Linked DNA regions of Anolis sagrei. The protein of the gene in region 1 interacts with the protein of each later gene in a biochemical or structural test. Links are inferred from orthologs where the notes say so. Each region holds a gene or a part of one and is shown in the gene's direction. Other genes may lie near its edges. The genes, in order: TJP1, CLDN1 and CLDN2.

The links.
Region 2: the proteins of TJP1 (region 1) and CLDN1 form a complex in vitro, tested with the Homo sapiens proteins (2 studies listed by BioGRID and IntAct, with this or other methods). The link is inferred for Anolis sagrei from reciprocal best matches to the Homo sapiens genes TJP1 and CLDN1.
Region 3: the proteins of TJP1 (region 1) and CLDN2 form a complex in vitro, tested with the Homo sapiens proteins (2 studies listed by BioGRID and IntAct, with this or other methods). The link is inferred for Anolis sagrei from reciprocal best matches to the Homo sapiens genes TJP1 and CLDN2.

What each region holds. Positions count from the first base shown.
Region 1 is NC_090029.1:6,538,159-6,546,505, reverse strand, and holds the start of TJP1 (tight junction protein ZO-1), read left to right. Parts: upstream 1-5,113; 5' UTR 5,114-5,283; coding exon 5,284-5,626; exon of another isoform or gene 5,627-5,766; intron 5,767-8,347. UniProt on the Homo sapiens protein: TJP1, TJP2, and TJP3 are closely related scaffolding proteins that link tight junction (TJ) transmembrane proteins such as claudins, junctional adhesion molecules, and occludin to the actin cytoskeleton.
Region 2 is NC_090023.1:271,015,060-271,022,456, reverse strand, and holds the start of CLDN1 (claudin-1), read left to right. Parts: upstream 1-3,957; 5' UTR 3,958-4,171; coding exon 4,172-4,394; intron 4,395-7,397.
Region 3 is NC_090030.1:19,901,429-19,908,920, forward strand, and holds the start of CLDN2 (claudin-2), read left to right. Parts: upstream 1-4,229; 5' UTR 4,230-4,292; intron 4,293-7,492. UniProt on the Homo sapiens protein: Forms paracellular channels: polymerizes in tight junction strands with cation- and water-selective channels through the strands, conveying epithelial permeability in a process known as paracellular tight junction permeability.

The sequences.
Region 1 (8,347 bases):
AGGCATTTTCTCCTGACGTTTCGCCTGCATCTATGGCAAGCATCCTCAGAGGTAGTGAGGGTGCTTGCCATAGATGCAGGCGAAACGTCAGGAGAAAATGCCTCTAGAACATGGCCATATAGCCCGGAAAAACCTACAACAACCCTGTGTTTACACACTTTTCCAATATTATTAGTAGTATAGATAGTACTGTACTCCTGGAGCCGCCAGTGGCGCAATGGGTTAGGTCCTTATATTGGCAGGATTGGTGAGTGGGGTGAGCTCCCGTCTGTCAACTCCAGCTTCTCATACGGGGACATGAGAGAAGCCAAAGATCGTAAAACATCTGGGAGTTCCCTGGGCAATGTCCTTGCAGACCGCAAATTCTCTCACACCAGAAATGACTTACAGTTTCTCAAGTCGCTCTTGACACACACACACACACACACACACACGCACAAAACTGTATTCCTATTGTTTCTGTTATTATTTTGGTTCCAGGTTTAGGGTGCATCTCCATTGTAGAATCCCTGCAGTTTGATACTACTGGAATGGCTCAGTACTATGGACTCCTGGGAATTGTAGTTTGGCAAGACACCAATGCTATATGACAGAGAAGGCTAGAGAGCTTGGAAAACTACAAGTGACATGAGCATTGAGTCATGGCTGGCCAAGTGATGTCTACCTGCATTCACCGAGTGGATACACCTTAAATCTGGAAACACAACAATAACTATTATAATAGTTTTATAACCAGATGTGCCTCAGGCATGGGCAAACTTGGGCCTTCCAGATGTTTTGGACTTCAACTCCCACGATTCCTAACAGCCCCAGGCCTCTTCCAGGAAGAGGCCTGAGGCTGTTAGGAATTGTGGGAGTTGAAGTCCAAAACACCTGGAAGGCCCAAGTTTGCCCATGCTTGCTCTACAATATTACTCATTATCTGAGGGAGATAAAATGTTTTATGTGAACACATAGCTTGGCCATCTTACATCTTCACACTAAACCTTCCAAAGGTGGAAGTGGAAAAGTAGTACAGACTTAGAAATGCATTTGCCCGAACCTTTCAATTAAGGCAATCTGCAAATGTACAGAGGTATGGTATGACGGAAGGTCCTCATAATCACTAATTGTCCCCTAATATATCAATATTATTTCCAGGTTCTCGTGAAGTTCTTCCAAGTTAACAAACTTTGCTTCAGATAGAAGATGGCCATATCTGGAGACAAGCACAAGATGGCAGTATCTCAGAAAATTTTGCTCCAGAAACAGACTTTAGGCACCGTGTATTTTTCTCCAAAAACACAAGGTATGTATGTGGTGATGCATCCTGTAGTTTTTAAATGTTTAAATAACACATCACAGTTTACTACTTCAAAAACAAATACATCCTGTTGCTTATTTATTTATCGTGTCAGAAGCGAATTGAGGGTGCAGTTATAATGTATTTTAAAATACAAACAAAGTTAAAAACTTGGCATTATACTAAATTTCCTTTCATAGAATCAAAGAGTTGGAAGAGACCTCATGGGCCATCCAGTCCAACCCCCTGCCAAGAAGCAGGAACACTGCATTCAAATCACCCCTGACAGATGGCCATCCAGCCTCTGTTTAAAAGCTTCCAAAGAAGGAGCCTCCACCACACTCCGGGGCAGAGAGTTCCACTGCTGAACGGCTCTCACAGTCAGGAAGTTCTTCCTCATGTTCAGATGGAATCTCCTCTCTTGTAGTTTGAAGCCATTGTTCCGCGTCCTAGTCTCCAAGGAAGCAGAAAACAAGCTTGCTCCCTCCTCCTCCCTGTGGCTTCCTCTCACATATTTATACATGGCTATCATATCTCCTCTCAGCCTTCTCTTCTTCAGGCTAAACATGCCCAGCTCCGTAAGCCGCTCATAGGGCTTGTTCTCCAGACCTTTTATCATTTTAGTCGCTCTCCTCTGGACACATTCCAGCTTGTCAATATCTCTCTTGAATTGTGGTTGACCAGAAGCTGGCCACTTGGAGTGGTTCTACTGTTGCTGTAAGGAGGTCCTCCATTGTGCATGTGGCAGGGCTCAGACTGAATTATAGTAAGTTGTCTGTGGTTTGCTCTTCTGCACACTCCTGGACTCCACTCTGTGGCCCCATTTTTTAAGGTTGGCGCTGCATCTTATGATGATGATGATGATGATGATAATAATAATAATAATAATAATAATAATAATCTTTATTCATACCCGCCACTATCTCCCCAATGGGGACTCAGAGCGGCTTACATGGGGCCAAGCCCAGACAACATATTACAGCAAAAATAAAATCAAAACATAAACAACAAGCAACATCATCAAAATTACATGGAAAAAAACATATGAATACAGTAACAAAATAACATTACAATAAAAATAAACACAATCACAGTGACACATGTGGGCGGACCACATGTACAGGATAAAATGTTTAAAAACTCTAATGAGATAAGAATAGAAGCAAGTTATTTGCAGGGAGCTGATAAAGAAACACAGGGTTGTGAACTAAACTTCCCATGTGGGGGGCGTGTACTCCAGTGACAGAAAAGTTGAGGGGAGCAGTAGTGCAGCCTGTTCAGCACCTTCCAAGTCTCCCAGTCTTCTGTGTGCCCAGGAGGGAGTTTCTCATCTGGTCTCAGCCACTGATTCTGGGTTTTAACCTGCCACTTTTGGACTCTTGCTTGCTGAGGTGTTCCTGTGCTGCAGTGCTACAATAGGATTCCTTCCCACATAATCCTCAGAGCTCGAGATGCTTGTCTGTTCTTTGGATGAAATGCACACATCTGCATTTTAGATGAATTAGGAGTCAGCTGGTTTTTCCTGTAATAGGTAGTAAGAGCACCCAAAGCTTCAGAGAGCTTCTGTTCAACCATTTCATGGGCTTCGACCCATGTAAGCCGCATCGAGTCCTTCGGGAGATGCTAGCGGGGTACAAATAAAGTTAATAATAATAATCATCATCATCATCATTTCAAAGCTCCCTGCTTCATTGGTGATGGCATGATCGTCAGCATAGATGAAATTATGTTGCTTATTTTTTTAAGTTCAGGAAGTTGCTAGATTATTTTATTTATTTATTGTTCAAATTTATGTGCCGCCACTCCCCTGGGGCTCAGAGCGGCTTACAAGAACAGGCTAAAATCTAACACAATTTAAAAACAATTTAAAACAATTTAAAAACAGCAATATCAAAAATCAAAGGCCTGTCGAAACAGATGTGTAAACACGGTTCTTCGCACGTCAAAGTTGGCTTGGTGACCTTGTGATAGTCATTGCTTCCCTGCCTAGCCTACCTCACTAAGTTGTTTGTTAAGATGAAATGAGCGAGGAGAGAGGAATTTTGGGGAAACCAGGAATCTCCACAGGCTTTTTGGAAGCATGACTTCCAAAAGAGATGTTTTACTTATTGTTTTAAGTGTTTATTTATTTATTTATTTATTTGCTTTTCTTTTATACCGCATATATCAGCCTGATACAGCGACTCTATGCGGTTTACAGTGCGATTAATAACAATTACAGTAAATAAGACATAACATATACAGACATACAACAAATAATCATCTACGCCTGAATGAAATCAGATCTCGTTCTCATAATCCTTTAGACGTTCCTTGTTCAGTAATGCCGTGTTATTTGTAGTGGCATTGAATTGCTGTCAAATGTAAGCCGTCCTGAATCCCTCTTTGGAGGCTGAGAAGGAACGGGTTAGAAATACCAGAAGTAAATAAATAAAATAAATGAAGGAATCCTAATCAGTCAGCAACAGTAATGCATGTCTTTTTTTTTTTTTTTGGCCAAATTACAAAAACTACACTTTTTGCCACTGCATATCACATTCGGCAGCAAATACTTTTTTTTTTCTTGGTTTCAGAATTTTGAAAATTGAGCTTCACATTAGATTCGATGGCATATTAGACTCGAGTAAATACTATGGGTATATGTGAAGCAGGGTTGTTACGCAAGTTTGATCCTCAGTGAATAATTACTACTGGCAGTACACCTACATTGAAGCTGTCAGAATCTCTCCCCTTAATCCTAATTCATTAAGTAGATGCTATTTATGAGAGTTTTTTTTTTAAAAAAAACAATCATCCAATAATTCTGGAATCACAAAAGATACAATCAGTGTTAAACATTGTAAATGCAAGTTTCCAAAAAGATTTAGACTATTTCCCTGCTCCTCACAAATGTCTTTTTCCAACAGTACACACCCATGAAGAACAAGTCCTAGGCCTTCTGCTTATGTATGCATAAGAACAAATACTGTAAATACTCGAGTATAAGCCTAGTTTTTCAGCCCTTTTTTAGGCTGAAAAAGTCCCTCTCGGCTTATACTTGAGTCAAGATAATTTATTATTGAATTCTGTTGTTATTGTTATTATTACATTGATTATTTTACTCTTATTATTACATTTATTATTTTGTTTTATTATTGTTATTATTACATTTATTATTTCACTCTCTTTATTATTATCGGAAGAATACATAAGCAGAAGGTTAGAATAATGGATTAATCAAACTTGGACAGTCTTATCTTAAATTACACTTTTATGTAAATATTCAAAAACATTTAACCTTCTGATGCCTCAATTAATGTAATTGTATTGGTATTTATATTTTGAAATTGACCAGTAGCTGCTGCATTTCCCACCTCGGCTTATACTCGAGTCAATACGTTTTCCCAGGTTTTTTTGTGGTAAAATTAGGTGCCTAGGCTTACATTCGGGTCAGCTTATACTCGAGTATATACGGGTATATCACTTGTGCAATTCTACTTAAAAGGGACCATCACTATCACAGTATTATTTGGGAGGCCAGCCCAACAAGGCAGAAATCTTAGTATCCACTTAAAACTGTGCCCTTGTTTCTTGTTTTAATACTTGCCTGCAATGGATAAGTGCTTTGATATCCTGTCTTCTTCAGTGTAACTTTCTACAATAGACTCGTTTTGTTTGTTGCGAAGCGGTTTAGAGAATTACAAAGTGAACAGTAGCCCAGCTATTCTCCTCTCTGCCTTTTTGTGGTTGTGGAGATGCCTATTAACGCTTGTAAAAGGCTAATTAGTGTAAAGTAATCCTCTTAGGGAGCTGGAAGCACTGTGCGTGGCAGTTTCTTTTGCTTTTTGTGCTTTTATAATTCGAACCTAGGCCTCTGCTTTTCCAGTCAAATTGCCCTATCTATCGGCAGGCGATACCCCCTTGCCTTCCCACGGCGTGCCTATAGACCCCGGAAGGCTGCAAGCGTCTGACAGAGAGCGGCAATCCTTTCTTTTTATTTATTTTTAGCTTTAAATGCAAACATGTTTAGGTGGCCGGTCCGGTCTTGGTTTTATAACTGTGCAAAACCAACCAAAAAAGAAAGCACAGATAGGAACCAGTGGCTTGCTGATATCCTAAGCAACCACAGGGAGAGAATCGTGAGAGAGCTGGATGTGCAGAAAGTGCTGTCATATCTGGTTTATGAGAGAGTCTTTTCCTTGGAGGAGTACAAAGACATTTTGTCCCGGGAGTGCTGCGAGAAGCAAGCTGCCTATTTTTTAGAGAAACTGGTTTGCAAAGGGCCCGGTGCCCTGTCCGCGTTCTGCTCGGTGCTGGAGGAGGTCTGTCCCCACTCGTTCATTTCCGTTCTCCTTGGCTACCAAGGTAAGGTCATAGGTCCTGCCGTCTGAAATGTTCCAAGTGTGTTATCGGCAGAGCCTTCGAATCCTTCCACACAAATGGTCTATAATTAGAAGTTACTTTCTCTCGCTTGTGCTCCTCCGCTTGCTCTCATTATAGCTACTCTGTTGAAAGAAACAGAAGAAGAGGACAGAAATAATTGTGGGGGATATAGAAAATGCTTTAAATCTCTCTGTAGAAGCCATGGTAGTAAAATAGAAATGAGTTAATACCATCAGTTGGGATTATCAACGATGCAGAAGAACCAGCTGGTTGATAATAAATATTCTCAAGTCGGGGAAAATGTTAATTTGATTATGTAGTGGCCACTTTAATACTTCAGTAGACTATTCAGTGTACACTTGCAGATACGTTGCCTTAGTGGTCTGAGAGAGAGAGAAGATAGATACGCAAATAGCAATACACTTTGTGTTGCAGAATGTATTGTTCTGTGAAATTAAGCTAGGATTATTTGATAAAAATTGTGACTGAAGAAAGATATGGTCAGCAGATGACTGAAAAACACATTGATAGAAGTGGGTTGTGACATGCAAGTGAATGTGGCATACTTCAGAGTCTGCAATATTACATACCCTTCAGGGGAAATAATCATAGGTCAGATGACAACATATAAACCAACTGGATTTAAGGACAGATGTGGATAGGTCTGCAGGCTTAATCCCAGTGATTTCAGGGATCAGTTTAATACAATTCCATGCATCTTTACTCAGAGGCAAGCCTCCCTGCATTCAATAGTTTATTTACCCAGGTGTACCTTGGTTTGCAGCCTTAAGCCAATTGTTCCTGGCAAAAGCAGGCTAAGGACTGATGTGTGTATGATAGTTCAACAGCAGTGTTTCTCAACCTTCCTAATCCCTTAATGCAGTTCCTCATGTTGTGGTGACCCCCAACCATAACATTTTTTTCATTGCTACTTCATAACTGTAATTTTTCTACTGTTATGAATCGTAATGTAAATATCTAACATGCAGGATGTATTTTCATTCACTGATCCACATTTGGCACAAATACCCGATATGCCCACATTTGAATACTGGTGAGGTTTGGGAAGATTGATTTTGTCATTTGGGAGTTGTAGTTGCTGGGATTTATAAACAAAGAGCATTCTAAACTCCACCAATGATGGAATTTAATCATACTTGGCACACAAAACTCCCACATCCAATACAGAAAGGGTTTCCTGGGCATTGACCTTGAGTTTTGGAATTGTAGTTCACCTACATCCAGAGAGCACTGTGGACTCAAACAATGATGGATCTGGACCAAACTTGGCACGAATACTCAATATGCCCAAATGTGAACACTGTTGTATTATGGGGGAAATAGATCTTGAGATTTGGGAGCTGTAGTTGCTGGGATTTTTAGTTCACCTACAATCAAAGAGCATTCTGACTCCCACCAATGATAGAATTGGGCCTAACTTCCCACTCCGAACCCCCATGACCAACAGAAAACAACTATATTTTTGATAGTCTTTGGTGACCCTTCCCACCAATGGTGACCCTCCCACCAATGATAAAATTGGGCCTAACTTCCCACTCCGAACCCCCATGACCAACAGAAAAAAAACTATATTTTTGATGGTTTTTGGTGACCCTTCTTTGGTGGCCCAGGGGTCCCGACCCCCAGGTTGAGAAACTCTGCCTTAGTGGTTTGGGAGATATATGATGGGCAGGTATGCAAATAGCAATACGCTTTCACTGCAGAATGTACTGTGAAATTAAGCAAGGATTATTTGATAAAAATTGTGACTGAAGAAAGATATAGTCAGCAGATGACTGAAAAACACATAGATAGAAGTGGGTTGTGACATGCAAGTGAATCTGGCATACTTCAGAGTCTGCAATATTACATACCCTTCAGGGGAAATAATCATAAGTCAGATGACAACATATAAAACAACTGGATTTAAGGACAGATGTGGATAGGACTGCAGGCATAATCCCAGTGATTTCAGGGATCAGTGTAACACAATTCCATGCGTCTTTACTCAGAGGCAAGCCTCCCTGCATTCAATAGTTCATTTGCCCAGGTGTACCTTGGTTGGTAGCCTTAAGCCAACTGTTTCTGACTCAAGCAGGCTGAGGAGTGATATGTGTATGTTAGCTCTACAGGTTCTCACATTGCTGCAGGAGAGAGGCTAATTAATCTAAAGGTAGTTAGCACCTTAATTATGCACATCAAATTAAAACAAAAAAACTAAGGACCCTGCAGGTTTTATAATAATCTATTTTTAAATGTAACAGCTACTAAGGCTTGTTGGGTAGAAATAAGTGTCTGAAGGTAATTTGATCTCTGAAATATATGCCTCTTACACCTCCATTATTTCACACTTGTAAACTTAATTACCTTTAAAACTGAGTTACAAGTCCTATGATTCAGTAATGTGATGGACCGTTTGCCACAATTTACTGATCAACAGATGACCATATATCTCTCTGTTTCCTACCCTTATGATTTACTGGACAGGTTTATGATCCTGGGAAGGGTGCAAAACAGTTACAGGGAAGGATTTCAATATATAAATGAATCATACCATTTGCTGATACAGTGTATGCTTTTTGCAAGTGGGTGGTGCAGCAGTTAAACCACTAAGCTGCAAAACTTGCTGATCAGAAGATTAGTGGTTCGAATCCACAGATGGGGTGAGCTCCCATTGTTAGCCCAGCTTCTGCCAATCTAGCA
Region 2 (7,397 bases), on another chromosome or scaffold:
TCACATCTAGCTCCAGCTTCTTGCCCCATCCCAGCCATTCCAGAGATATATAAACCCATTGTCCTAATTCCAACAGACCTCACTACCTCTGAAGATGCTTGCCATAGATGCAGGCGAAACGTCAGGAGAAATGCCTCTAGAACATGGCCCTATAGCCCGAAAAAACCCACAAGAACCTAGTGAAAAACACCTTGTTTGTTCTTCACCAACACACCAGACCCTTGCGGTGTTTTTATCTCTCGGTATAATCCTCCGCCAAGCAATTCTCAGACAGCACTTTCCATAATTGTTCTTCAGCTCCAAGACCATCCAGCCACAAAGAGCGAAAACAACTCAAAAGGGAGGAGGAGGTTGTTTTGGTCCGGACGTTGCTTCATCTTGATGACTTGAGGGATTTTGGCTGGCCTCTCGGAGGGGTTTGCAAAACACGCCGGCTCAAGGGATGAGGATTACCCACCAGGCCTGGCTCCACCACAAAGGGATCCAGAAGCAGGGAAACATCATCGCTCCCTTCTATCCGAAACAACAAACAAAAGTGGCTCCATAAATAGAACGTCTCTCGTGTGTTGACTCTCCCCTCCTCTGGCCTCAAACAGGGATGGTCCTGGCATTCGTCTTCTGCATTTTTTCCCCAAATCTCCAGGTTATAGAATCACACAATCTTGGAGTTGAAAGGGACCCCCGAAGGCCATCCAGCCCAAACCTTTTCTGCCAGGCTAAAATGCACAACTACATCCCCTAGAATCATAGAATCATAGAATCAAAGAGTTGGAAGAGACCTCCTGGGCCATCCAGTCCAACCCCATTCTGCCAAGAAGCAGGAATATTGCATTCAAATCACCCCTGACAAATGGCCATCCAGCCTCTGCTTAAAAGCTTCCAAAGAAGGAGCCTCCACCACACTCCGGGGCAGAGAGTTCCACTGCTGAACGGCTCTCACAGTCAGGAAGTTCTTCCTAATGTTCAGATGGAATCTCCTCTCTTGTAGTTTGAAGCCATTGTTCCTTGTCCTAGTCTCCAAGGAAGCAGAAAACAAGCTTGCTCCCTCCTCCTCCCTGTGGCTTCCTCTCACATATTTATACATGGCTATCATATCTCCTCTCAGCCTTCTCTTCTTCAGGCTAAACATGCCCAGTTCCCTAAGCCGCTCCTCATAGGGCTTGTTCTCCAGACCCTTGATCATTTTAGTCTCCCTCCTCTGGACACATTCCAGCTTGTCAATATCTCTCTTGAATTGTGGTGCCCAGAATTGGACACAATATTCCTCCTAGTGTGCATCTACATGTGGAATTAATGCATGTTGACACTACTTTAACTACCATGCTCATGGCCTTGGCATCATAAGAGCTATAGTTTTATAAGGTCTTTAGCCTTCTCTGCCAATGAGTGTTGTGCCTTTTCGCCTGGCAAAAAAAAGGCTTCTCCACCAAATAGTGTTATTATTATTATTTATTTTTATTATTATTTATTTCAGGTACTTTTACCCCGCCCTTCTCAACCCCCGAGGGGGGACTCAGGGCGGCTTACAAAAAGGCACAATTCGATGCCTACATAGAATACATACAGCAATCAAACAATTATCACAGTTAAATTGGTCAGTATATAACACAATCAATAAAAATAAAACACAATCAATAAAAAACTAATCTCAAGCTCAGCGTTCGTCTTTCAGAGTTCCATAATTCCATTCCACTTTCTCAATTCCTGTCCATTGTCGAAATCCTCCTTTATCTGCCCGATTGTCCGAATGCCTGGTCCCAAATCCATGTTTTCAGTTTTTTCCTGAAGGAAAGGAGGGATGTCCCTGTTCTGATTTCCCCGGGGAGTGAATTCCACAGGTGAGGGGCCACCACCGAGAAAGCCCTGCTCCTCGTCCCTGCCAATCTCACTTGTGATAGAGGCGGGGTCGAGAGCAGGGCCTCCCCAGAAGATCTTAGACTTCGAGGTGGGATGTAGAGGGAGATCCGTTTAGACAGATACACTGGGTCGGAACCGTATAGGGTTTTGTTGCCTCACCAAACTACAACTCCCAGGATTCTATAGCAGTGAGCCATGACAGTTAAAATGGGGTCAAACTGCATTAATTCGACAGTATAGATGCACCCCTAAAAGCAGGTTTTCCATTCTCTGCTTAAAGACCTCCAAAGAGCGAGGGTCCACCACATGTTGAGGAAGGCCGTTCCCCTTTCAAACCCCTCTTTCACTCAGGAAAGTTTTCTCAATGTTTTGGTAGAGTTTCTTTTCCAGGAGTCGGAATCTATTACTCTGTCTTAGGGTGCAGAATGAATTCAGTTTGACCCATGTTAACTGCCATTTTCCAATGCTATTGAGTCCTGAGTGTTATAGTTTGGTGAGGCAACAACACTATTTGGTGGAGAAACCTCAGAGACTGTGTAAAACTATAACTCCCATGAAATCTCAGTGTAATGACTGAGAGTACTGTGAATAGAGGGATAAAATGTGGAGGCCGTGACAGACTTTGTATTTCTAGGTGCAAAGATGACTGCAGATGCAGATTACTGTGGCCAGGAAATCAGAAGACGCTTCCTACTCGGGAGGAGAGCAATGTCCAGTCTCGATATAATAGTAAAGAGCAGAGACATCAGACTGGCAACCAAGATCCATTGCCTAGTCAAAGCCATGGTCTTCCCTGTAGTCACCTACGGATGTGAGAGCTGGACCTTAGGGAAGGCTGAGCCAAGGAAGAGAGATGCTTTTGAGCTGTGGTGTTGGAGGAAAGTTCTGAGCGTGCCTTGGACTGCAAGAAGATCCAACCAGTCCATCCTCCAGGAAATAATGCCTGACTTCTCACTGGAGGGAAGGATACTAGAGACAAAGTGGAAGTCCTTTGGCCACATCATGAGGAGACAGCAAAGCCTAGAGAAGGGAATGATGCTGGGGAAAGTGGAAGGCAAAAGGAAGAGGGGCCGACCAAGGCAAGATGGATGGATGGCATCCTTGAAGTGACTGGACTGACCTTGAAGGAGCTGGGGGTGGTGACGGCCGACAGGGAGCTCTGGCGTGGGCTGGTCCATGAGGTCACGAAGAGTCTGAGACGACTGAACGAATGAACAACAACAACATGGCAGCGTAGAAGAGACCTGAAATAAGAAAGAGCAATAGATTGACTTTTGCATGTGTGAATCCCTCTGAGGAGCAGCTGAGGGAGCTCGGGATGTTTAGCTTGGAGGAGAGAACGATAAGAGGGAACATGATGCTTGAGTTGATTTATTGGAAAGGATGATACATTGAGGAGAAAGGGAAAAGCGTGCTTCCTGTTGCTCCAGAGGCTGGGACACAATGGAGCCATGGATGCAAATTGCAGGGAAAGAGATCCCACCTATGTTTTAGGAAGACATTCCTGATGGTAACAGCTTTCTGACAGTAGGATGTGTCACTTTGAAGTATGGTAGAACCTCCTTCTATGGAAGTTTTGTTAACAAAGAGTTGTGCTTGAATTATTTCTTCCCACACAGTAGTACGAGGTTGGACCGGATGACCTCTGGGTTCCCTTTCAAGTCGAGGGGTTCTATGTAATCACACACGACGTCTAGCAAGAAAGTATCTGGAAATCCCTTTGACGCCTCTCCTTTCCTGTTCTGGAAGTGTCCCGACGCTTCCAAAGAACAGGGTGGATCCTGCAAGGGAGATGTGTCATGAAGCGAGAGAACACATCGGGGGTGCACTTTGGCCCAGGAAGGAACGCAACTTGGGGTGACTGATATTGCCTTAACCCCACACCTTTTCCACCAGTCGAAGCAAGTATCTTTCCCCACCTTTCCCCAGAACTAAACCTTGAAGTATGGGTTGCAAAAGAACCGTCAAAGCATTGTAACTTTTTTTGTTTTGTGGTTGCAATTTTTCATTTGGGAAAGCAAAGCACTGGATGGACGGCAAAGTCGAACGAAACCACCAGGCGGAGCTGGAGAGGCGCTGGTTTAAATAGAGCTGCCGAGCTGCCCCGAAAGCCAGTTCTCCAAGTCGGCTCCAAGTCCAGCAGCATCAACCTGCTCTGAAATCCCTCGGATTACAAAAAGGAGAGCAGAGAAGAGCAGAGAAGGATCCCTCCTTGGCTTCATCTCTCCAAGGACCAAGCGCCCTTCCTTCCTCCATCCATCCATCCTTTTCAGGTGCTCCTTTGCCTCATTGTTGCTGTTCCAGTGGAGACGCAATGGCCAGTGGTGGTCTGCAGATGCTGGGCTTCCTCCTGGCCTTCATCGGCTGGATCGGCACCATCGTCAGCACTGCCATGCCTCAGTGGAAGATCAACTCCTACGCCGGAGACAACCTCATCACGGCCCAAGCCATCTACGAGGGGCTCTGGATGAACTGTGTGATGCAGAGCACCGGGCAGATGCAGTGCAAGGTCTTCGACTCCCTCCTCAAGCTGCCAGGTAGGGCCCCAAAACAGGGTCAAGATGGTGATGATGGCAGGTTGGGTCTCTCTCATCTGAAATGCACAGGAGCAGATGTGCTTTGGATTTGGATTTATTGGTATTTTAAGATCGGGATAGACCTAGCATGGGCAAACTTTGACCCTCCAGGTGTTTTGGACTTCAACTTGGTAGTTGGTAGGGTGTTAGGAATTGTGTGAGTTGAAGTCCAAAACACCTGGAGGGTTGAAGTTTGCCCATGGTGGGTCTATCCTGATCTTAAAATATCAATATATCCAAATCCAAAGCACATCTTCTGGTCCTAACCGGACTTGACCCATATATAGTGTCCTATGAAATGTCATTGAATGCTGTCTTAGATTTGGGTGCCATCTCAATGACACCTCATGCTATAGGTCTATCCCAGACATGGGCAAACTTCGACCCTCCAGGTGTTTTGGACTTCAACTTGGTAGTTGGTATGCTGTTAGGAATTGTGTGAGTTGAAGTCCAAAACATCTGGAGGGTCGAAGTTTGCCCATGCCGGGTCTATCCCGATCTTAAAATACCAATAAATCCAAATCCAAAGCACATCTTCTGGTCCTAACCGGACTTGACCCATACATAGTGTCCGATGATCTTGACCCATATATAGTGTCCTATGAAATGTCACTGAATGCTGTGTTAGATTTGGGTGCCATCTCAATGACATCTCATGCTATAGGTCTATCCCAGACATGGGCAAACTTCGACCCTCCAGTGTTTTGGACTTCAACTTGGTAGTTAGTAGGGTGTTAGGATTTGTGTGAGTTGAAGTCCAAAACACCTTGAAGGCCCAAGGTTGCCCATGTCTTGAGTAGACCTATATCATAAGATGTCATCGAGATGAGAACCAAATCTAACACAACATTGAGTGACATTGCATAGGACACTATATATGGGTCAAGACCATAGGACAGTATGTATGGGTCAAGTCTGGTCAGGACCAGAAGTGTTTGGGAGTTGGTGTTTACCCCATATTCAAATATATATGTACATCACGAGAGAACTTGGGTGTGGGCTCCAAGTCTAAATGTAACATTTGTGTCAGTTTCATAGACACCTTCCACAGGTCAATAATTCCTTATCCCAAATGCTTCTGTGTCATTGACTCCTATGGTTGAGATTCCAGGGGTTTTCATATTTTCAGATACTTGTATCTGCAATTACGGACATCATGAGATGTCTTGGAGATGGGACACCAATCTAAACACAAAATTCATTTAGGTGTCATAGACACTACACACTCGTACAGGTCAACTCTCCCTTTTCCAAATGCTTGGGACTAGAAGTGTTTTGGAATGCTTTGTTTTGGACATATGTAAACAATGAGATATATGGAGATGGGATTCAAACCTAAACATGAAATTCAGTGATGTTTCATCAACAATGGAATTCAGATGTTGGCTACGAACCTCATGAGATATCTTGGAGTTTGAACCCAAGTCGAAACTTGATATGTTTCATAGACATATGAGTGTTCTTCGTCAAAAACAGTTGGGATCAGTCATCTTGGTATCTTGGAATTTGGGTTTTTTTGAAATATGTATTTGTCTAAACACAAAATTCATGTATATTTAATGGACACCTTATTATGGGTGGAGTATTCCTTATCTGAAATCCTGGTGAACAGAAGAGTTTTGGGATATTTCATATTTTCCAATACCTGTATTTGCCTATCTGTATCTTTGAGATTAGATTCAGGTTTAAACTATCTATGAAACATACAAAAGTCATGGAAAGGCAGAATATTCCTTATCCAAAATGGTTGGGATCACTTGTGTTTGGGGTTTTAGATTCCCCCCTCCTCCTTATATGGGTGGAGTATTCCTTATCCAAAAGGGTTAGAACCAAAATGTTTAGGATCTGGAATACCTGTTTCTGGGTATGCTCACATATTGAGGAATCTTGGACATGGGATCCAAAGGTAAACACAGCATCCATGTATGTTTAAAAAAGACAGTTTGAGTATTCCTTATCCGAAATGTTTAGAACCAGAGTTGTTTGGTATTAAAATTTTTGGAATTCTTGTATTTGTGTCTTCGTCCCTCATGAGATCATAGAATCAAAGAGTTGGAAGAGACCTCATGGGCCATCCAGTCCAACCCCATTCTGCCAAGAAGCAGGAATATTGCATTCAAATCACCCCAGACAGATGGCCATCCAGCCTCTGTTTAAAAGCTTCCAAAGAAGGAGCCTCCACCACACTCCGGGGCAGAGAGTTCCACTGCTGAACAGCTCTCACAGTCAGGAAGTTCTTCCTCATGTTCAGATGGAATCTCCTCTCTTATAGTTTGAAGCCATTGTTCCATTGTGTCCTAGTCTCTAAGGAAGCAGAAAACAAGCTTGCTCCCTCCTCCCTGTGATTTCCTCTCACATATTTATACATGGCTATCATATCTCCTTTCAGCCTTCTCTTCTTCCTGGCTAAACATGCCCAGCTCTTTAAGCCGCTCCTCATAGGGCTTGTTCTCCAGAATCTTGATCATTTTAGTCACCCTCCTCTGGACTAAAATGATCAAGATTTTGGAGAACAAGGCTGAGGGAGTGGTCCCTTTGCTTTCCAGTGATACAGAAACTTTGCTTTGTGTGCAAAACAATTACAAATATTGTCCACTAGCTGTCCCCTGCCATGCGTTGCTGTGGCCCACATGGGGGTTCTGTGTGGGAGGTTTGACCCAATTCTATTGTTGGTGGGGTTCAGAATGCTCTGATTGTAGGTGAACTATAAATCCCAGCAACTACAACTCCCAAATGTCAAGATTCTATTTTCCCCAAACTCCACCAGTGTTCACATTTGGGCATATTGAGTATTCGTGTAGAGTTTGGTCCAGATCCATCATTGTTTGAGTCCACAGTGATCTCTGGATGGAGGTGAACTACAACTCCAAAACCAAAGGACACTGCCCACCAAACCCAGTATTTTCTGTTGGTCATGGGAGAACTGTGTGCCAAGTTTGGTTCAATTCTATCGTTGGTGGGGTT
Region 3 (7,492 bases), on another chromosome or scaffold:
TTCAAGGATGCCATCCATCCATCTTGCCCTTGGTCGGCCCCTCTTCCTTTTACCTTCCACTTTCCCCAGCATAACTGTCTTCTCTAGGCTTTGCTGTCTCCTCATGATGTGGCCAAAGTACTTCAACTTTGTCTCTAGTATCCTTCCCTCCAGTGAGCAGTCGGGCTTTATTTCCTGGAGGATGGACTGGTGGATCTTCTCGCAGTCCAAGGCACTCTCAGCACTTTCCTCCAACACCACAGTTCAAAAGCATCTCTCTTCCTTTGCTCAGCCTTCCCTAAGGTCCATCTCTCACATCCGTAGGTGACTACAGGGAATACCATGGCTTTGACTAGGCGGATCTTTGTTGCCAGTCTGATGTCTCTATTTTATCGAGACTGGACATTGCTCTCCTCCCAAGAAGTAAGCGTCTTCTGATTTCCTGGCCACAGTCTGCATCTGCAGTCATCTTTGCCTCTAGAAATACAAAGTCTGTCACGGCCTCCACATTTTCTCCCTCTATTTTCCAGTTGTCAATCATTCTTGTTGCCATAATCTTGGTTTTTTTATGTTTAGCTGCAACCCGGCTTTTGCGCTTTCTTCTTTCACCTTGATTAGAAGGCTCCTCATCTCCTCCTCGCTTTCGGCCATCAGAGTGGTGTCATCTGCATATCTGAGGTTGTTAATGTTTCTTCCAGCAATTTTCACCCCAGCCTTGCATTCGTTAAGCCCGGCACATCGCATGATGTGTTCTGCATACAGGTTAAAAAGGTTGGGTGAGAGGATGCAGCCTTGCCATACGCCTTTCCCAATCTTGAACCAGTCTGTTGTTCCGTGGTCAGTTCTGACTGTTGCTACTTGGTCCTTGTACAGATTCCTCAGGAGAGAGACAAGGGGGCTTGGGATGCCCATCCCACCAAGAACTTTCCACAATTTATTATGATCCACACAGTCAAAGGCTTTATAATAGTCAAACTTGGCTTTAGAATAGTCAAAGTTGTAGGTGAACTACAACTCCAAAACTCAAGATCAATACCCACCAAACCCTTCCAGTATTTTCTGTTTGCCATGGGAGTTCTGTGTGCCAAGTTTGATTCAATTCAATTGTTGGTGAAGTTCAGAACGCTCTCTGATTGTAGGTGAACTATACATCCCAGCAACAACTCTCACAGGACAAATACCCTCCCCCAATCCCACCAGTATTCAAATTTGGGTGTATTGGGTACTTGTGCCAAATTTGGTCCAGTGAATAAAATACATCCTGCATATCAGATATTTACATTACTATTCATAACAGCAGCAAAATGACAGTTATGAAGTAGCAATGAAACTAATTTTATGGATGGAGGTCACCATAACATGAGGAAGCGTATTAAGGAGTCGTGGCATTAGGAAGGTTGAGAACCACTGGTCTAGAGGCATTCTCTCCTGACGTTTCGCCTGCATCTATGGCAAGCATCCTCAGAGGTAGTGAGGTCTGTTGGAACTAGGAAAAAGGGTTTATATATCTGTGGAATGACCAGGGTGAGACAAAGGACTCTTGTCTGCTGGAGCTAGGTGTGAATGTTTCAACTGATCACCTTGATTAAAATTTGATTGCCTGGCAGTGCCTGGAGCAAACCTTTGTTGAGAGGTGATTAGATGTCCTTGTTTGTTTCCTCTCTGTTGTTGTGCTGTTGTTATTTTAGAGGTTTTTAACACAGAAATGCTGGACGACTCTCACAACCACCATGTCAGACTACACAGAGAAGCCATTGAAATACACAAGCATGTGGACAATTTCAACAGAAAGGAAGAAACCATGAAAATGAACAAAATCTGGCTACCAGTATTAAAAAATTCTAAAATTGCAACAGCAAAAACAGCAGAGAGAAAAACAGGCAGGGACATCTAATCACCTTTCAAGAAGAGTTTGCTCCAGGCACAGTCAGCCCATTGTATGCTAATCAAGGTGGTCAGTTGAAAGATTCACACCTAGCCCAACTTACAAAAGCCCTTTGTCTCACCCCAGCCATTCCACAGATATATAAACCCCCTTTTTTCCCAGTTCCAGCAGACCTCACCTCTGAGGATGCTTGCCATAGATGCAGGCGAAACGTCAGGAGAAATGCCTCTAGAACATGGCCATATAGCCCGAAAAAAACCCACAAGAAATATATGGCCATGGTCTAGAGCAGTGTTTCTCAACCTGGGGGTCAGGACCCCTGAGGGGGTCGTCAGGGGGTGTCAAAGGGGTCGCCAAAGACCATCAGAAAACACAGTATTTTCTGTTGGTCATTGGGATTCTGTGTGGGAAGTTTGACCCAATTCTATTGTTGGTCGAGTTCAGAAGGCTCTTTGATTGTAAGTGAACTACAACAACTACAACTCCCAAATGTCAAGGTCTATTTTCCCCAAACTCCACCAGTGTTTACATTTGGGCATATTGAGTATTCGTGCCAAGTTTGGTCCAGATCCATCATTGCATGAATCCACAGCACTCCTCTGGATATAGGTGAACTACAACTCCCAAACTCAAGGTCAATACCCACCAAACCCTTCCAGTGTTTTCTAATAGTCATTGGAGTTCTGTGTGCCAAGTTCGGTTTAAATCCATCGCTGGTGGAGTTTAGAATGCTCTTTAGTTATAGGTGAACTATAAATCCCAGCAACTACAATTCCCAAATTACAAAATCAGTCCTCCCCCCAACCCCACTAGCACTCACATTTTGGCATATTGGGTATTTGTGCTCAATTTAGTCCAGTGAATGAAAATACATCCTGCATATCGGATATTTACATTACGATTTATAACAGTAGTAAAAGGACAGGTATCAAGTAGCAACGAAAACAATATTATGGTTGAGGGTCACCACAACATATGGAACTGCATTAAGGGGTCACGGCATTAGCAAGGTTGAAAACCACTGGTCTAGAGGCATTCTCTCCTGACGTTTCGCCTGCATCTATGGCAAGCATCCTCAGAGGTAGTGAGGTCTGTTGGAACTAGGAAAATTGGGTTTATATATCTGTGGAATGACCAGGGTGGGACAAAGGACTCTTGTCTGTTGGAGCTAGGTGTGAATGTTTCAACTGATCACCTTGATTAGCATTTGATTGCCTGGCAGTGCCAGGAGCAAACTTTTGTTGAGAGGTGATTAGATGTCTTTGTTTGTTTCCTCTCTGTTGTTGTGCTGTTCTAATTTTAGAGTTTTTAAACACAGAAATACTGGACGACTCTCACAACCACCATGTCAGACTACACAGAGAAGCCATTGAAATACACAAGCATGTGGACAATTTCAACAGAAAAGAGGAAACCATGAAAAGGAACAAAATCTGGCTACCAGTATTAAAAAACAGTACAACCATATTATTTTACCACAAAGAAATGCCTCCTAAGGAAGAGATAACATTGGTCTGTGTATTTTTGTTCTTTTTATCACTTTGGGCTACTGGTGCTGGGTCATGCTGCTGTTAATAAGTTACTCTGCTGTGCATGTATGAGGAGGGTCTTTTGTTAATAAGCCCACTCACCCAACATGACCCACCAAGGCACTCTCCTTTGGTTCCTTGGCCATTTGCGCCATTTGCTTCTCACTTGGCACAAGGGCAATCCTGGGAGCAGGGGCGGCTCGTCCATTACGCAAAGTAAGCGGTTGCGGTACACTTTTTTTTGGCCAGGGGCGCAGAGGCGCCTCTGTAAATGCCCCTCGATCGCCACTTATGGAGCACCCCCTCGGCTCACAACAGCCCTAGCAGTCCGGGGGGAGCCTCGGCTTCCTTGCCTCACTGCCGGGCGATCCTCTTCCCAAAGGGGCTGGGCCCTTGAGCCTCGCCTAGCCCCTCTTGTTTCTGCTCCATATCAATGATTGGTTGGGGAGGGGGGCGCCAAAATACTGTTTGCTTACTATTGAAAATTACTTGGGGCCACCTCTCTGCCTGGGAGGAAAGGCAGGGGAGGGCCTTCTCCTCCTTGCAGTTCCCAGAGATCCCTTGGCTCTTTCTGATCCCAGTGTGGTCCCAGGGGCCCAGCCTCCCCTCCATCCCAAACATGCTTCTCTCTGCCCCCGCCAGGACCCATAACAGCTCAGGTCCACTCAATGGGGGTCAGTCTGCAGGCAAAAGACCAGGCCCCACGGTTCCTGATCTGTCCGAGTCTTTAAAGGGTTTAATTGTGATCTGGACTAAGCCTCGGCCCCCGAGCCACGATTTGCGGGTGGATTTGGCAAAGCTGCAGTGAAAAATTAGAAAGCCCTCCTCAGCCTCCCTCCGGCCTTGTTCTGAGGAGGCGCCTGACCACCCAGCCTCCCTGCCCTCCAGCAAGCCCTGAGGTAAGCCCCCCTCCCGTCGTGGGGTCAGTTGCCATGGGGTGCCCCCTCTGGGATGGGAAGGGAGGATGGGTCACCCTCTTGGCCAGGCCATGGGCATCCTGGCTGCAGGAGAGCCAGCTCCCCAGAAATAGCTCTGCTCCTTTCCCTATTTCCTCCTCCTTCCAAGAAGAGAACCATAGCAGCAAAAGACTCTGGGTCTCTTCCTGTGCAAAGAAAGGGAAGCGTCTGGTGGGCTGGGTCAGCTGTGAGAACCAAACAGTAAAGAGGCAACTCTCTGGGCCGGAGCCCGGTGGTGCAGTGGGTTAAAGCCCTGTGCCGGCAGGACTGAAGACCGACAGGTCGCAGGTTCAAATCCGGGGAGAGGCGGATGAGCTCCCTCTATCAACTCCAGCTCCTCATGCGGGGACACGAGAGAAGCCTCCCACAAGGATGATAAAAACATCAAATCATCCAGGTGTCCCCTGGGCAATGTCCTTGCAGACGGCCAATTCTCTCACACCAGAAGCGACTTGCAGTTTCTCAAGTTGCTCCTGACATGACAAAAAAAAACCTCTCTGGGCCAAATCCTGGGAAAGCTGCATGTGCATTTCAAAGGGAATTGGAAGAGGAAGAGGATACAGGTAGATTCCAGGCATAAAGCCAGAAGCAGAGGGCCACTGGGGAACCCTCCAAAGGAGGAGGCAGGGGAGGAGGGCTTCCTACCAAGGCACCTCTGCCCCAGCAGTTGGGGCCTCCTAACCTTCATGTTGCCAATCTGGGTGAGGAGATAGAGAGGGAAAGGACATTTGGAGACCTTCCCGGAGTGTAGTGGGGTGAGCATTGTGCTGGGAAGCAAGAGTGAGCTCCCCCCCCCCCCCCACACACACACCCTGGGAGAGGTCTGTCCCCTTCAGACCCAGGACTCTGCTTTGGCTCTTGGAATATGTTGGGGAATCGGAGCTGTTAGGTTCAAAAATAACCTTCAGTTAGGGTGATTCTGCCATAAATATAGCAGAGTACCAGAAGCAAACTTCATAACCAGCAGAAACATAGTAAAGGTAAAGGTAGTTCCCTGACATTACGTCCAGTCATGTCTGACTCTGGGGTGTGGTGCTCATCTCCATTTCTAAGCCGAAGAGCCAGCGTTGTCCGTAGACACCTCCAAGGTCATGTGGCCGGCATGACTGCATGGAGCTGGGTGAAACTGGGATAAGCCTCTATTTCTTAGGATGACACAGGATTTCAGAATCAGAACTTTAGGTTCGAAGATATTTATTGAAGTAAAAGAAATACACTAACTAGCTTCCTAAATCCCATCTTCTAAGAAAGGTAAAAGGGTAAAAAGTGAAAAAAAATCCATGCAGCTACATTTTGCCTAAAGAGAGAAACAAAATGTGCATTCTCACTGGAAGGAAGGAAAGGCAGAAGACACAGTGGTGGCGAATGGCCACATGGCCAGTTCAGGGCAATAAAAATACCTTTAAAACTGAAGTTCCCCCACAGAGATTCCATTGCTACATCTTCAAAGGGGGAGGAGAGAGTGGCTAGTAGGAGGAGGAAAGACAAAGCCCTTTTGGGAAACGTGCCTAGAAATGTGTGTGTTTGGGGGGGGGGGATCCCTCAACCTAATCCTATCTCTAGTATAGCTACTCATTGAGGACTAGAGACTTGACGACACAAGAGATTGGGCAGTCCAGGGATGAAACCCAACAGCCTCCTTACCTTTGTGTTGCCAACCTGGAAGAGGAGACGGGAAAGGGAGGGGTTTATGGAGACCTTCGTGGCCCCCGTCCCCTGGTCTTGGGTGGGGTGGGCGCTGTGCTGGGAAGCAAGAGTGGGCAGACCGTCTAGGGAGAGGTCCATCTCCTCCAGGTCCAGGGTTCTGCTTTAGCCCTTGTCCTCATTTCCCCGGTCCATTCCAAGAGCGATTATTAGCTCAGCTCTCCTCTGGCAAGACCCTTCTCCCTCTCCCCTTCCTTCCCTCCCTCCCTCCCTTTGTAAAAGAAGCTGGCTAGAAGGGAGAAGAAAGAGAGAGAAACCATGCCAGGGAAGGGGACAGGGCAAGGGCAACCATGTTGGGACCAGAGGTCAAACCAGGCCACCATCCACTTGGGGCTCCCAGCGTGGATCTTCTTGCCCCAAAGGATAGAGCCCAGGCTATTTATTTATTGTGTCAGGCAACTGAACAGTTCTATTACATTTTTGACAGAACAAACAAACAAACAAACAAACATACAAAAGACACAGAGTTTGCAGGCTTGGTGGTTGATTAAATGTCCTTTGACCAGTATCTGGCCACTTGGAGTGCCTCTGGTGTTGCCGCAAGAAGGTCCTCCATTGTGCATGTAGCAGGGCTCAGGTGGTCTGTAGTTTGCTCTTCACCACACTCGCATGTCGTGGATTCCACTTTGTGGCCCCATTTCTGAAGGTTGGCTCTGCATCTCGTGCTGCCAGAGCGCAGTCTGTTCGGCGCCTTCCAAGTTGCCCAGTTTTGTGTGAGCCCAGGGGGGAGTCTCTCATTGGGTATCAGCCATTGATTGAGGCTCTGGGTTTGAGCCTGCCACTTTTGGACTCTCGCTTGCTGAGGTGTTCCAGCGAGTGTCTCTGTAGATCTTAGAAAACTATTTCTTGATTTAAGTCGTTGGCATGCTGGCTGATGCCCAAACAAGGGATGAGCTGGAGATGTCTCTGCCTTGGTCCTTTCACTATTGGCTGCTATTTCCCGGCAGATGTCAGGTGGTGCGATACCAGCTAAGCAGTGTAATTTCTCCAGTTGTGTAGGGCGCAGACACCCCGTGATAATGTGGCATGTCTCATTAAGAGCCACATCTCATTAAGAGCCCAGGTTGAGGTGGAAAGAATGGCTGCCACTGGTGGGAAGCAGAGACCGTTCCTCCAACTTGGAACTGGGTTGTGTGTGTGTTAGGGAGGAAGAACGCCTAAGGGCACAGCCATCTTGGTTGAATCAAGTGTGTGCTTCTCTCACACACATATACACACACTCCGACAGGCTGTTGCCAGATGCCCATTCAGCATTCAAGGGCCAAGTACAAGTGGGAGGGGGCACATCATTGAGACAGGGCCATACCTCACTCACTCCAAGTTCTGCACATCACTTATTGCCTGAAGAGTCTGAAGCGGTTGCTTCCTCAAACAGTTTGTGATTCCTACGAGGTTGCATGTGGGTTTGGACTTTTCAAAACATAATTTCTACATATAGA